3 linked regions of the Macaca mulatta genome follow. The protein of the gene in region 1 interacts with the protein of each later gene in a pairwise test. Links are inferred from orthologs where the notes say so. Each region holds a gene or a part of one and is shown in the gene's direction. Other genes may lie near its edges.

The links.
Region 2: the proteins of KEAP1 (region 1) and NFE2L1 interact in binary tests that used the Homo sapiens proteins (3 or more experiments, as listed by UniProt). The link is inferred for Macaca mulatta from reciprocal best matches to the Homo sapiens genes KEAP1 and NFE2L1.
Region 3: the proteins of KEAP1 (region 1) and DPP3 interact in binary tests that used the Homo sapiens proteins (3 or more experiments, as listed by UniProt). The two-hybrid records come from large-scale screens. The link is inferred for Macaca mulatta from reciprocal best matches to the Homo sapiens genes KEAP1 and DPP3.

The regions. Positions count from the first base shown.
Region 1 is NC_133424.1:11,213,478-11,217,222, reverse strand, and holds the end of KEAP1 (kelch-like ECH-associated protein 1), read left to right. Parts: intron 1-375; coding exon 376-581; intron 582-859; coding exon 860-1,036; intron 1,037-2,749; coding exon 2,750-2,916; 3' UTR 2,917-3,443; downstream 3,444-3,745. UniProt on the Homo sapiens protein: Substrate-specific adapter of a BCR (BTB-CUL3-RBX1) E3 ubiquitin ligase complex that regulates the response to oxidative stress by targeting NFE2L2/NRF2 for ubiquitination.
Region 2 is NC_133421.1:61,973,379-61,977,123, reverse strand, and holds the start of NFE2L1 (endoplasmic reticulum membrane sensor NFE2L1), read left to right. Parts: upstream 1-1,371; 5' UTR 1,372-1,483; exon of another isoform or gene 1,484-2,452; intron 2,453-3,475; exon of another isoform or gene 3,476-3,631; 5' UTR 3,632-3,745.
Region 3 is NC_133419.1:7,920,327-7,923,971, reverse strand, and holds part of DPP3 (dipeptidyl peptidase 3), read left to right. Parts: intron 1-1,452; coding exon 1,453-1,515; intron 1,516-1,616; coding exon 1,617-1,741; intron 1,742-1,881; coding exon 1,882-2,002; intron 2,003-3,359; coding exon 3,360-3,539; intron 3,540-3,645. UniProt on the Homo sapiens protein: Cleaves and degrades bioactive peptides, including angiotensin, Leu-enkephalin and Met-enkephalin. Also cleaves Arg-Arg-beta-naphthylamide (in vitro).

The DNA.
Region 1 (3,745 bases):
GCCTAGGCTGGAGTGCAGTGGCACGATCTCAGCTCACTGCAACCTACACCTCCCAGGTTCAAATGATTATCTCACCTCAGCGTCCCGAGTAGCTGGGATTACAGGCACCTGCCATCACACCCAGCTAATTTTTGTATTTTTAATAGAGACAAGGTTTTACCATATTGGCCAGGCTGGTCTTAAACTCCTGACCTCAGGTGATCCACCCTCCTCGGCCTCCCAAAGTGCTGGGATTACAGACACGTGCCACTGCGCCTGATGACCCTGTCTCTTTAAAGGAAGAAAAAAAGGGAAAAAAGGGGTATCAGGCCTTTAAGTATTCCACGAAGGTCAGCTATAATGGCCATTGTCCCCATTTTTCTTATGCCCTTGCAGGTATGAGCCAGAGCGGGATGAGTGGCACTTGGTGGCCCCAATGCTGACACGAAGGATCGGGGTGGGCGTGGCCGTCCTCAATCGTCTGCTTTATGCCGTGGGGGGCTTTGACGGGACAAACCGCCTTAATTCAGCTGAGCGTTACTACCCAGAGAGGAACGAGTGGCGAATGATCACAGCAATGAACACCATCCGAAGCGGGGCAGGTGGGTGGGGACGGTAGTGAGGGGAGCATCCAGGAACACCCCCACCATCCTGGGGTGAAACTGAGCCAGGCCTGGGAGAGACCCCCTGTTGCAACCCTCACCCTGAGATAACCACAGAAGCACTGGATTCTGATAGAGTCCAAGCTTCTCTCTCTCCATGCTTCATTTCTGAGGGTGAGAAGGGAGAGGAGAGAGGAAAGGTCTCCCTCAAGGAGGTGATGGCTGGGGCTCCCAAAGCCAGTCCTCCAGAGTCACCTTCTCTGCACGGTGCCCTTTAGGCGTCTGTGTCCTGCACAACTGCATCTATGCTGCCGGGGGCTATGATGGTCAGGACCAGCTGAACAGCGTGGAGCGTTATGACGTGGAAACAGAGACGTGGACTTTCGTAGCCCCCATGAAGCACCGGCGAAGTGCCCTGGGGATCACTGTCCACCAGGGGAGAATCTACGTCCTTGGTGAGGCCCTGGGGGTGGGGAAGAGTCCCGACTAGCCCCATCTCTTGTGGACTGTGGCTGCTTTTGCTTTTTTGCTTTCCTTTTTTTTTTTTTTTTTTTCTTAGAAACAGGGTCTCGCTCTGTCGCCCAGGCTGAGTGCAGTGGTGTGATCACAGCTTGCTGGAGCCTCAACCTCCTGGGCTCCAGCCATCCTCCTGCCTCAGCTTCCCAAGTAGCAGGGACCACACGCACGCACCACCACACCCGGCTAATGTTTGTTTTTTTGAGATGGAGTCTCGCAATGTTGCCCAGGCTGGGGTGCAATGGCATGATCTCAGCTCACTGCAACCTCCGCCTCCTGGAGGTTCAAGCAATTCTCCTGTCTTAGCCTCCTGAGTAGCTGGGACTATAGGTGTGTGCCACCGCACCTGGCTAATTTTTTGTATTTTAGTAGAGATAGGGTTTCACCATGTTAGCCAGGCTGGTCTCGAACTCCTGACCTCGTGATCCACCCACTTCAGCCTTCCAAAGTGCTGGGATTATAGGCGTGAGCCACCGCGCTGGGGCTTTTTCTTTTTTTGAGACAGGAGTCTCGCTCTGTTGCCAGGCTGGAGTGCAATGGCGCGATCTCAGCTCACTGCAACCTCCGCCTCCTGGTTTCAAGCGATTCTCCCCCCTCAGCCTCCCATGTAGCTGATATTACAGGTGCCCACCACTATGCCCTGCTAATTTTTATATTTTAGTAGAGATGGGGTTTCACCATGCTGGTCAGGCTGGTCTTGAACTCCTGACCTCAGGTGATCTGCCCACATCAGCCTCCCAAAGTGCTGGGATTACAGGCGTGAGCCACCACACTCGGCTTAATGTTATTTATGTATTTATTTATTTTTGAAACGGAGTCTGGCTCTGTCGCTCAGGCTGGAGTGCAGTGGCACACTCTCGGCTCACTGCAAGCTCTACCTCCCAGGTTCATGCCATTCTCCTGGCTCAGCCTCCCGAGTAGCTGGGATTATAGGCACCTGCCACCACGCCCGGCTAATTTTTATTTTTTTTTGTATTTTTAGTAGAGATGGGGTTTCACCATGTTAGCCAGGATGGTCTCAATCTCCTGACCTTGTGATCCGCCCACCTCGGCCTCCCAAAGTGCTGGGATTACAGGCGTGAGCCACAGCACCCGGCTGTTTTTATTTATTTTTATTTTATTTTTTTGAGACAGAGTTTTGCTCGTGTTGCCCAGGCTGGAATGCAATGGCGTGATCTCGGCTCACTGCAACCTCTGCCTTCCAGGTTCCAGTGATTCTCCTGTCTCAGCCTCCCTAGTAGCTGGAACTACAGGCACGCACCACCACGCCTGGCTAAATTTTTATGTTTTTTTTTGGTAGAGATGGGATTTCACCATGTTGCCCAGGCTGGTCTCAAATTCCTGGACTCAAGTGATCCACCCACCTCAGTCTCCCAAAGTGCTAGATTTACAGGCTGAGCTACCGCGCCTGGCCTTTTTTTTTTTTTTTTTCTTCAGTAAGAGACTAGAGTTTGCTATGTTGCCCAGGCTGTCCTCGAACTCCTGGCCTCAAGCGATCCTCCCGCCTCAGCCCTGCAAAGTGCTAGGATTATAGGCGTGAGCCACTGCGCCCGGCCTGCTTTTGCATCTCACAGCTGCTTCTCCCTCTTTCTGTCCCCTGCTCTTGGATGTGGTGTGACAGGTGGTGACCGTCCCTTCTGTTCTTCCTGCAGGAGGCTATGATGGTCACACGTTCCTGGACAGTGTGGAGTGTTACGACCCAGATACAGACACCTGGAGCGAGGTGACCCGAATGACATCGGGCCGGAGCGGAGTGGGCGTGGCTGTCACCATGGAGCCCTGCCGGAAGCAGATCGACCAGCAGAACTGTACCTGTTGAGGCACTTTTGTTTCTTGGGCGAAAATACAGTCCAATGGGGAGTATCATTGTTTTTGTACAAAAACCAGGATTAAAAGAAAAAAGACAGCACTGCAAATAACCCATCTTCCGGGAAGGGAGGCCGCGATGCCTCAGTGTTAAAATGACATCTCAAAAAGAAGTCCAAAGCGGGAATCATGTGCCTCTCAGCGGAGCCCCAGGAGTGTCCAAGACAGCCTGGCTGGGAAAGGGGGTGTGGAAAGAGCAGGCTTCCAGGAGAGAGGCCCCCAAACCCTCTGGCCCTGGGTCCCACCCACCCAGCCAGCCACGCCGGCAGCCCTCACCTTGTGATTTGTTCTTGGATACCTGGGAGGGGGCCAATGGGGGCCTCAGGCGGAGGCCCCCTCTGGAAATGTGGTTCCCAGGGATGGGCCTGTACATAGAAGCCACCGGATGGCACTTCCCCACCGGATGGACAGTTATTTTGTTGATAAGTAACCCTGTAATTTTCCAAGGAAAATAAAGAACAGACTAACTAGTGTCTTTCACCCTGGCTCTGGGCTGGAGGTCTGAAACCCGGGGCCAGAAAGGGCTCTTCTCCTGAAACACACTCCTCTTTGACTTAGGGCTGGTATTTGAAACCGTTTTGTAATCTTTGCCCATCGCATTTTGATATGTAGGGCATCTTTCTCCCCATAGGCAAGCCACACAGCTGTCCTTCAGTTTCAGCTGCCTTGGAAGACAAGGAGCTAATTCCTAGTCACATCTCCCAGGGCTCCCCAAGCTCATTTTTTTTTTTTTCCTTTTATTTTGAGACAGAGTTTTGCTCTTGTTGCGCAGGCTGGAGTGC
Region 2 (3,745 bases), on another chromosome or scaffold:
GGAGTTCGAGTCCAGTCTGGAATAGGTAAAACATGCTCTCTGAATTAGTCTTTGAAACTGGTAAACTAGCTCAGAAGTTTTGTAAGAATTGCTGGTGTACGTTTATTATATACAGTGAAAGTACTTAATCTGTAAACCACCCCAAATTAAGCCTCCTAACTGCAAGCACAAAATGGACTCATTATTTACTGAGTTATCAGTTGGCGTTGTCCTTAGTTGTACAGGGACTAATGATTCACCCATAAATAATGGGCTCTTCTAAGAAGACAGACTTGAGTTTACACCTCTTTGTCCTATAGCTGGGAGGAACGCACTGCAAACTCCAACCCAATGATTCCCTAAATGGGGTCTTCGCATCAGTTGCGTTAAAATCATCCCAGCAGGCAGGTTATCCGGCCGCCACTCCAGGGTCACTAAATCAGACTCTCCAGTGGGACCTCGGAATTCGTAGTTTAGCAAGCTCCCCAAGTGATGCTGGGGGTAAACTAACGTTTGAGAGTCACAAACATGTTTTGGAAATATAACCAGATGGGACTGGAGAAATTAGAAACTGAGAAACATCCCTAAAAAAAGCAAGACTAAGCAGCGTGGGAGACCAAGTGAGGGGGGCTCTTTGGGGTGTTTCTACCATGACAAAAATCGCCATTACCCCACAGCTCTCATACCACCAACGTTCCGCCAACGTCCCACCACCCTCATGACAACCGTCTCCGGGACTGCTCCAGCGAAGGCACCCTTGCCTGGGCCACGAGGCGCAACCGTCCCTCACAGCTGGGGAGGCTTCTCCAGGTTCGCACCGAGAGGAAGTTGGGGTACCGGTTTCCGCCGCCAGCACCCAAGATGGCGGCACGAGCGTCGCAACCACAAGCACCACATGCTTCGTGTCCCGCCTCAGCCTTCTCGGGTCTCACTAGACTTTTGCAAGTCACTGTGGGAACCCTCAAGGCGGAGGTGTTCCGCACTCCCGCGGCGATACACCCTCCCATTCCCTGCCCTAAGCCCTCAATCCCCCGCCACAGAAAGCGCTGGAAGCGCCCAGCTTGGATACTTCACCCAACTCCCAGCCCGCTAAGATCTCCCGCCGCGAACGCGCGGCCGAGGGGCCCAGAATGCTAGACACTAAGGCCTTCGCCCTACTCATTGGTCGGTCCACACCGCGGGGCGGGCCTAGGTACCCATTGGGCCGGGAATTATGTCAGTCTTGGGAAATCGGGTCCGGAGATGAGGAGGTGCACTCAGCCATTGGGCCCTCTCTGCTGCCAATCAGAGGGACATCCGTCGACGGCCCCGGTCTCGGCTCGTTGATTGGAGAAACTGTTCCTAGGGTGCCTGCGGCGGGCGGGTTTCCGAGTGCGGTGGCAGGAGGGGGCGGGGAGGGAAGCGGAGGCTCGGAGCTCTAGGCCGGCCGGTGGCGGCGGCGAGGCCGGGACTCGGGCTTAGGGCCTGCTGTGGCGGCAGCGGCGGACGCCGAGCTAAGCAGCGGGTATCGGGCACATTCCTTTCCTAGAAGGGAGGGGTGCAGCGCCGCGGGGCCGAGGCTTATGGGGCGACGGGCGACGGGATGGTGCTGAGGCGCAGGAGGCGGGGGCCGAGCAGGGTTCCCGCCAGAGCCCGGCCCTGGGCCTGACAGGGAGGGGCCGCGCGCGGGGCCGAGAGGAAAGCTGGCTCCGGGATGGGATGGACTGGGCAGGGTTGAGGGCACGAGAAGGCGTGGTGTGAGGCCCGGACTTGGGAGTGGGGTGGGGCCATCGGGACGGAGGGCGGGGTGGGGTTTGTTGTAAGGGTGGGTCAAGGCCGGGGAAGTAGCACTTGTTCGCTGGCCGCCCCAGGAGGCTAGAAGCTCCGGCGCCGAGAGTGGGCATGGCGACTTGGTCTCAGCCGGACTCGGGTATCCGGGCAGGGTGGGACCAGCCTCAGGCCAGGGCCCCTGCCCCTAACTCGATTTTTAAGGGACTTTATCCGATTTCTCGAACTTAGGCTCCTGGGAGGTTTTAGTAATAAATTGCGTGAGAACGGGAGGGTAGCGTAAGCAGGAATTCTGGGTCGCAATTGTGTTTACTCTGACCAGAGAGAGGGAGTGTGAGTGTGTGTGTGTACACGTACGCTGTGTACGTATAGATCGCTCTCCCCCTGTAGAATGAAGTTGGTAGATGGGTCACAACGCCGGAGAGGAGAGGGGGTATGTCTTGGTTTGTGAGATTAATGGAAGCTCAAAAGTGGAGACCAGAAACAGATTTACCTCCTCGGCACTGGGCGGTCTGGCTAGAGAACGTGGCCATATCCTTCTGCTTTGGCTCAGAAGGTCATATGAATGAAAATAAAACCTGCCTATGCAAATCCTGGACGGAATAGTCTTGCGTAGTAGGCCCCCCACCATCCTTCTCCTCCTTTTTTTCTTTCCTTTTCTTTTTTTCTTTCTTTTTTCTTTTTTTTGAGATGGAGTTTCGCTCTTGTTGCCCAGGCTGGAGTGCAGTGGCGCGATCTCGGCCCACCACAACCTCGCCTCCTGGGTTCAAGCGATTCTCTTGCCTCAGCCTCCCTAGTAGCTGGGATTACAGGCATGCGCCACCACGCCCGGCTAATTTTTGTATTTTTAGTAGAGATAGGGCTTCTCCATGTTGTTCAGGCTTGTCTCGAACTCCTGACCTTGGGTGATTCGCCCTCCTTGGCCTCCCAAAGTGCTGGGATTACAAGCCTCGGCCCTTTTCCTTTTTTTTTTTTTTTTTTTTTTTAAGATGTGAGGATAGGAAAGGGAAATCAGATTTCAAAGTTCAGAAAACAAAAGGCGTTCTTCTTCTGGGTGAAGTGGTGACCTGAACATTGTCCTTTTGTCCTTCCACACTCTCACTGTTTAATAATCTTGCCTTTTTGAACTGGAAAAGATAACTGTTATAGGTGGTTTTCTCCTGAGAGGTGAAAATTCAGCTTTACTTTTAAGACAGGAAATGGGCTTCTCATATGAAAATAGAAGCTGGGTAATGCACCTGTAGCGGGGGAGGAGGGCTGGTAAATAAAACAAAGGTGTAAGATATTTTGGATGACCTAGTTATTGTCTGCTTATCCAAACCAAGCTACATTTTAGGATATTGCACATTTAATATTAAGTATCTGAGATCCTTTGTGATCAGTACCTTTTATAGTTCTTCTATGATCGGTTGCTATATTTTGGGTTTTTTTTCTGAGAGTGTAAGTAGTCCTTTCTTCCTATAAAAGTGGCCTTTAGGCCAGGCACTGTGGCTCACGCCTGTAATCCCAGCACTTCGCGGGGCCCAGGTGGGCAGATCACCTGAGGTCAGGAGCTCAAGACCAGTCTGGCCAACATGGTGAAACCCCAACTCTTCTAAAAACACAAAAATTAGCTAGGCATGGTGGCAGGCGCCGTAATCCCAGATACTTGGGAGGCTGAGGCAGGAGAACCGCTTGAACCCGGAAGGTGGAGGTTGCAGTGAGCAGAGATCACACCACTGCACTCCAGCCTGGGCGACAGAGTGAGACTGTCTCAAAAAAAAAAAAAAAGTGAAAGTGTACTTTGAATGTGTTTTCTGCCTTCTACTGTGAAGGTTTTCCTACCCTGATCATGATGTGAAAAGTATGGAATCTCATCTTGTTGCTTTTGTGATTCCCATTTCAGGTTTCTCTGGAAACCCCCCTGGTAAGTGTGGAGGAGGCGGGACACTCTGACCCAAGACGAAAGGCCTGTAGCTCCAGCCAAAGAAAATAAACCTTAGGAGGGAGAAGGAAAAAA
Region 3 (3,645 bases), on another chromosome or scaffold:
GTACCCCAGCCCACAGCTCCACTCCCCACAACCTGCCCTACCCAGTGGTGAAGCTGCTCTAGCCTCTGCCCTCAGGGGCTGTGGGTTGGGTGGGGAAAACGGCCCCTTAAGCAGAGAAGACCCTGTCTTGCCCTTCCTCAAGATGTCCCAGGAGCTCAGAGGCCTGGTGTAGAGCCGGGGTGTAGAGGGCCCTCTGGGACAGTTCAGCTGCTGTTCCCCACACCAGGAGGAATTGCTTGGCTCAGGCTAAGGAAGCACACCCTAAGGGCGTGGCTCCAGCAGCCCCAGGACAGACACTGGGGGTAGGGGGCATCTCTGGGTGCTCCCATCTGAGGCAGCAGTGCTATCTTTGTTTGCGCTGCTGTTCCGTGGAGCCTGGGCTTTTCCAGGTATCGTAGGGAGCCACTTCTCCCCAGAGCAGCCCCTTCTTGCCAGCCAGCCAGCGTGACTGGAGTCCCCTCCACACCTACCCAGGGAATATGGAAACACAGACAACCTTTTATGGGGGGCTGAAAAGCTGATGTGGACCCCCAGCATGGAGATGACCAGAAGTGGGGTGGGGTGTGGCCCCTCCCTTCCGAGGGCAGGGTTCTTGGTGGGCCCTGCTTCTTGGGGTGTGGGGCTGCTTCCCTGGATGGGGAAGGGCTGGAACTGGGCCCCGGGGTCAGGAGGATGCGCAGAACAGCTGCTGAGGCAGCAGGCTGGCGAAACGCCTTGGCCAGACTTTATCCAGGCTGTGTGTAGCCTTGGATAAGTCAGCTCCTTCACCAACCCTCAGTTGGCCCATCTGTAAAATGAGATTCCTGACCCCTGCTGTGTGGGCTGTTGTGAGGAGTAAAGGTGAAGACAGTAAGCCCTGACACACAGTAGGTCCTCAGCAAACAGGTATTAGTGTTGAGAGACAGTATCCACGGAGGTTGTGTGCTCTGACTCCAGTTTGGGGCTCTTAGGCTCCAAGCCTCAGTTTCCTCGTCTGTGAAGTGGGATAATAGTAGCACTGTCCTCGGAAGATGGTTGTGAGGATTAAAAGGATGCTGCATGAAAGACGCATGGCATGCAGTGGGAGTGGCAGTGCCAGGAGCCAGACCAGAAGCCCATGGTGGGCACAGCTGGGCTCTCTGGCCCACCCATTGGAGCATCTCCTACTGGGGTCTGGAGACACCAGATCTGGGTCCTCACAGGACTTGGGGCAAGTTCCTCGACTGTCTGGCCCTCGGTTCTCCTCTCTGTGCGGTGGGGTAGGCATCTCTGGTTCTCGCGTTCCTGATGGCTCTGAGGAGGCAGCCAGCGTCACAGGGCTCAGGGCTGTGCAGGCATCAGTGTGTGGACGGACCTGCTGCTCCTGCGCTCCCACTTGCCTTCCTGAGCCACTCTCTGGGCCCGTGGATTCTGGCGCTGGAGGCCTGGATCCAGCTGGGGGTGCCTTTCCCTCACCCAGCCTGTGTTCTGCAGGATGAAAAAGGAGCATTCAACTTTGACCAGGAGACAGTGATCAACCCAGAGACGGGCGAGCAGGTGAGGGAGGCCTCAGTAGAGCCCCAGGGTGCTGGGAGGGTGGGCACAGGTGGGGTGGGGCAGTGGCCACCCTAAGCCTGACAGTGGAGCTCTTTTTCCAGATTCAGAGCTGGTATCGGAGCGGGGAGACCTGGGACAGCAAGTTCAGCACCATCGCCTCCAGCTACGAAGAGTGCCGGGCTGAGAGCGTGGGCCTCTACCTCTGTCTCCACCCGGAAGTGCTGGAGTAAGAGCAGCAAAGCCAAGGGGTGGGCTGTCCCGGTGCAGTGGCCAGCCCTGGGGGCATGGAGGGTGGGTGGTGGCGGCCGGTGGAATGGGGACAGGGTAGCCTCTGACCATCCTGCCACCTGCCTGCCCGTCTCACAGGATCTTTGGCTTTGAGGGGGCTGATGCGGAGGACGTGATCTACGTGAACTGGCTCAACATGGTTCGGGCTGGGCTGCTCGCTCTGGAGTTCTACACACCTGAGGCCTCCAACTGGCGACAGGTGGGGCCTGGGTGGGGCCCCCAGGAGGCGGAAGGGAGCCTACAAGGATGATCAGCCTGCCAAGAGCAGGGTGCAAGGATGGGACCGCTGTACCTTTAAGGCAGATGAACAGGGTTTAATGCCAGACTCCACTGTTTGGGGGGCAAGTCACATCACTCTCGTGAGCCCCAGAGTTCCTGTCTGTGAAGTGGGAGTAGGACTCTCCCCGGCCACCATTTCACGGTGAATCAGATGAGGTGATTTTGTTAGGACTCCTCGCAGTTGACGCCCTCTGTGCCACACACAATTCTAAGCGCCCTCCATGAATTCACTACGCCAGGAGGTAGGTGCTGTTGTTACCCTCATTTTGAGAAGAGAAATTGAGGCACAAGGAGATGATGCAACTTGCCACTAAGTGGCAGAGCCAGGATTCGCATCTATACAGTGCCTCCAGGGCCATTCAGTGCCACGGCTCCATTTTGTGTCCTTTGGACATGGGGTAAGTGATAGAAATTTTTTTTCTTTTTCTTTTTTTTTTTTTTTTTGAGACAGAGTCTCGCTCTGTCACCAGGTTGGAGTGCAGGGGCGTGATCTTGGCTCACTGCAACCTCCGCCTCCCGGGTTCAAGTGATTCCCCTCCCTCAGCCTCCTGAGTAGCTGGGACTACAGGCGCATACCACCACGCCTGGCTAATTTTTTGTATTTTTTAGTAGAGACAGGGTTTCACCGTGTTAGCCAGGATAGTCTCGATCCCTTGACCTCATGATCCACCCGCCTCAGCCTCCCAAAGTGCTGGGATTACAGGCATGAGCCACCGCGCCCTGCCAGCAATAGAAACTTTTTGACAAAATCAGATGGGTGTGGTTTGAGGAGGTATTGTGACATCATTCAGGGTCCAGAAATGTGGGTCTGAGTTGTGGCTCTTCCTTTACTAGCTGTGTGCCCCTAAAGAAGTCCCTCCACTTCTCTGGGCCTCTGTTTTATCATCTGCAAACTGGGGATAATGACGCTTACTTGGTTCCCCTTTTGAGCACAAACAAGGTTGTGGAGGAGAAAGTGTTTGGGGACCCTGGAGGGGGTAGCTGCTGTCCTCCTCGGGGGATCCGGAGGAGCAGGGATCACGGTGGGTGACATGGGGAGCATGGGCACCAGGTCCTACCTGGAAATGGCCTCCCTGTCTCCTAGTGCAGCCTGCTCTCTCTGTTAGCAGAGGAAGGAGGAAGCATTTGAGGGGAGGGGAATAAGCAGAAAAGGACCCACAGGGTGGGGGAGAATGACAATAACAGTTGCCAATAAATGAGCAACTGGGACCAAGGACCAAGCCTAGGACCAAGCACTTGATATGGGCTACAAATGCTGTCTTTCCCCACCCCGGCAGGCCCATATGCAGGCCCGGTTTGTGATCCTGAGAGTCTTGCTGGAGGCTGGCGAGGGACTCGTTACCATCACTCCCACCACAGGCTCTGATGGGCGCCCAGATGCCCGGGTCCGCCTCGACCGCAGCAAGATCCGGTCTGTGGGCAAGCCTGCTCTAGAGCGCTTCCTGCGGAGGCTTCAGGTAAGCAAAGCCCTCTCGCCTGGATGGGCCCCCGCCAACCTCTCCAGGGGCAGAGTGTTACCATGTGCCAGGCACGGAGAATAAGCTGTGAGCAGTTCTCACGCTG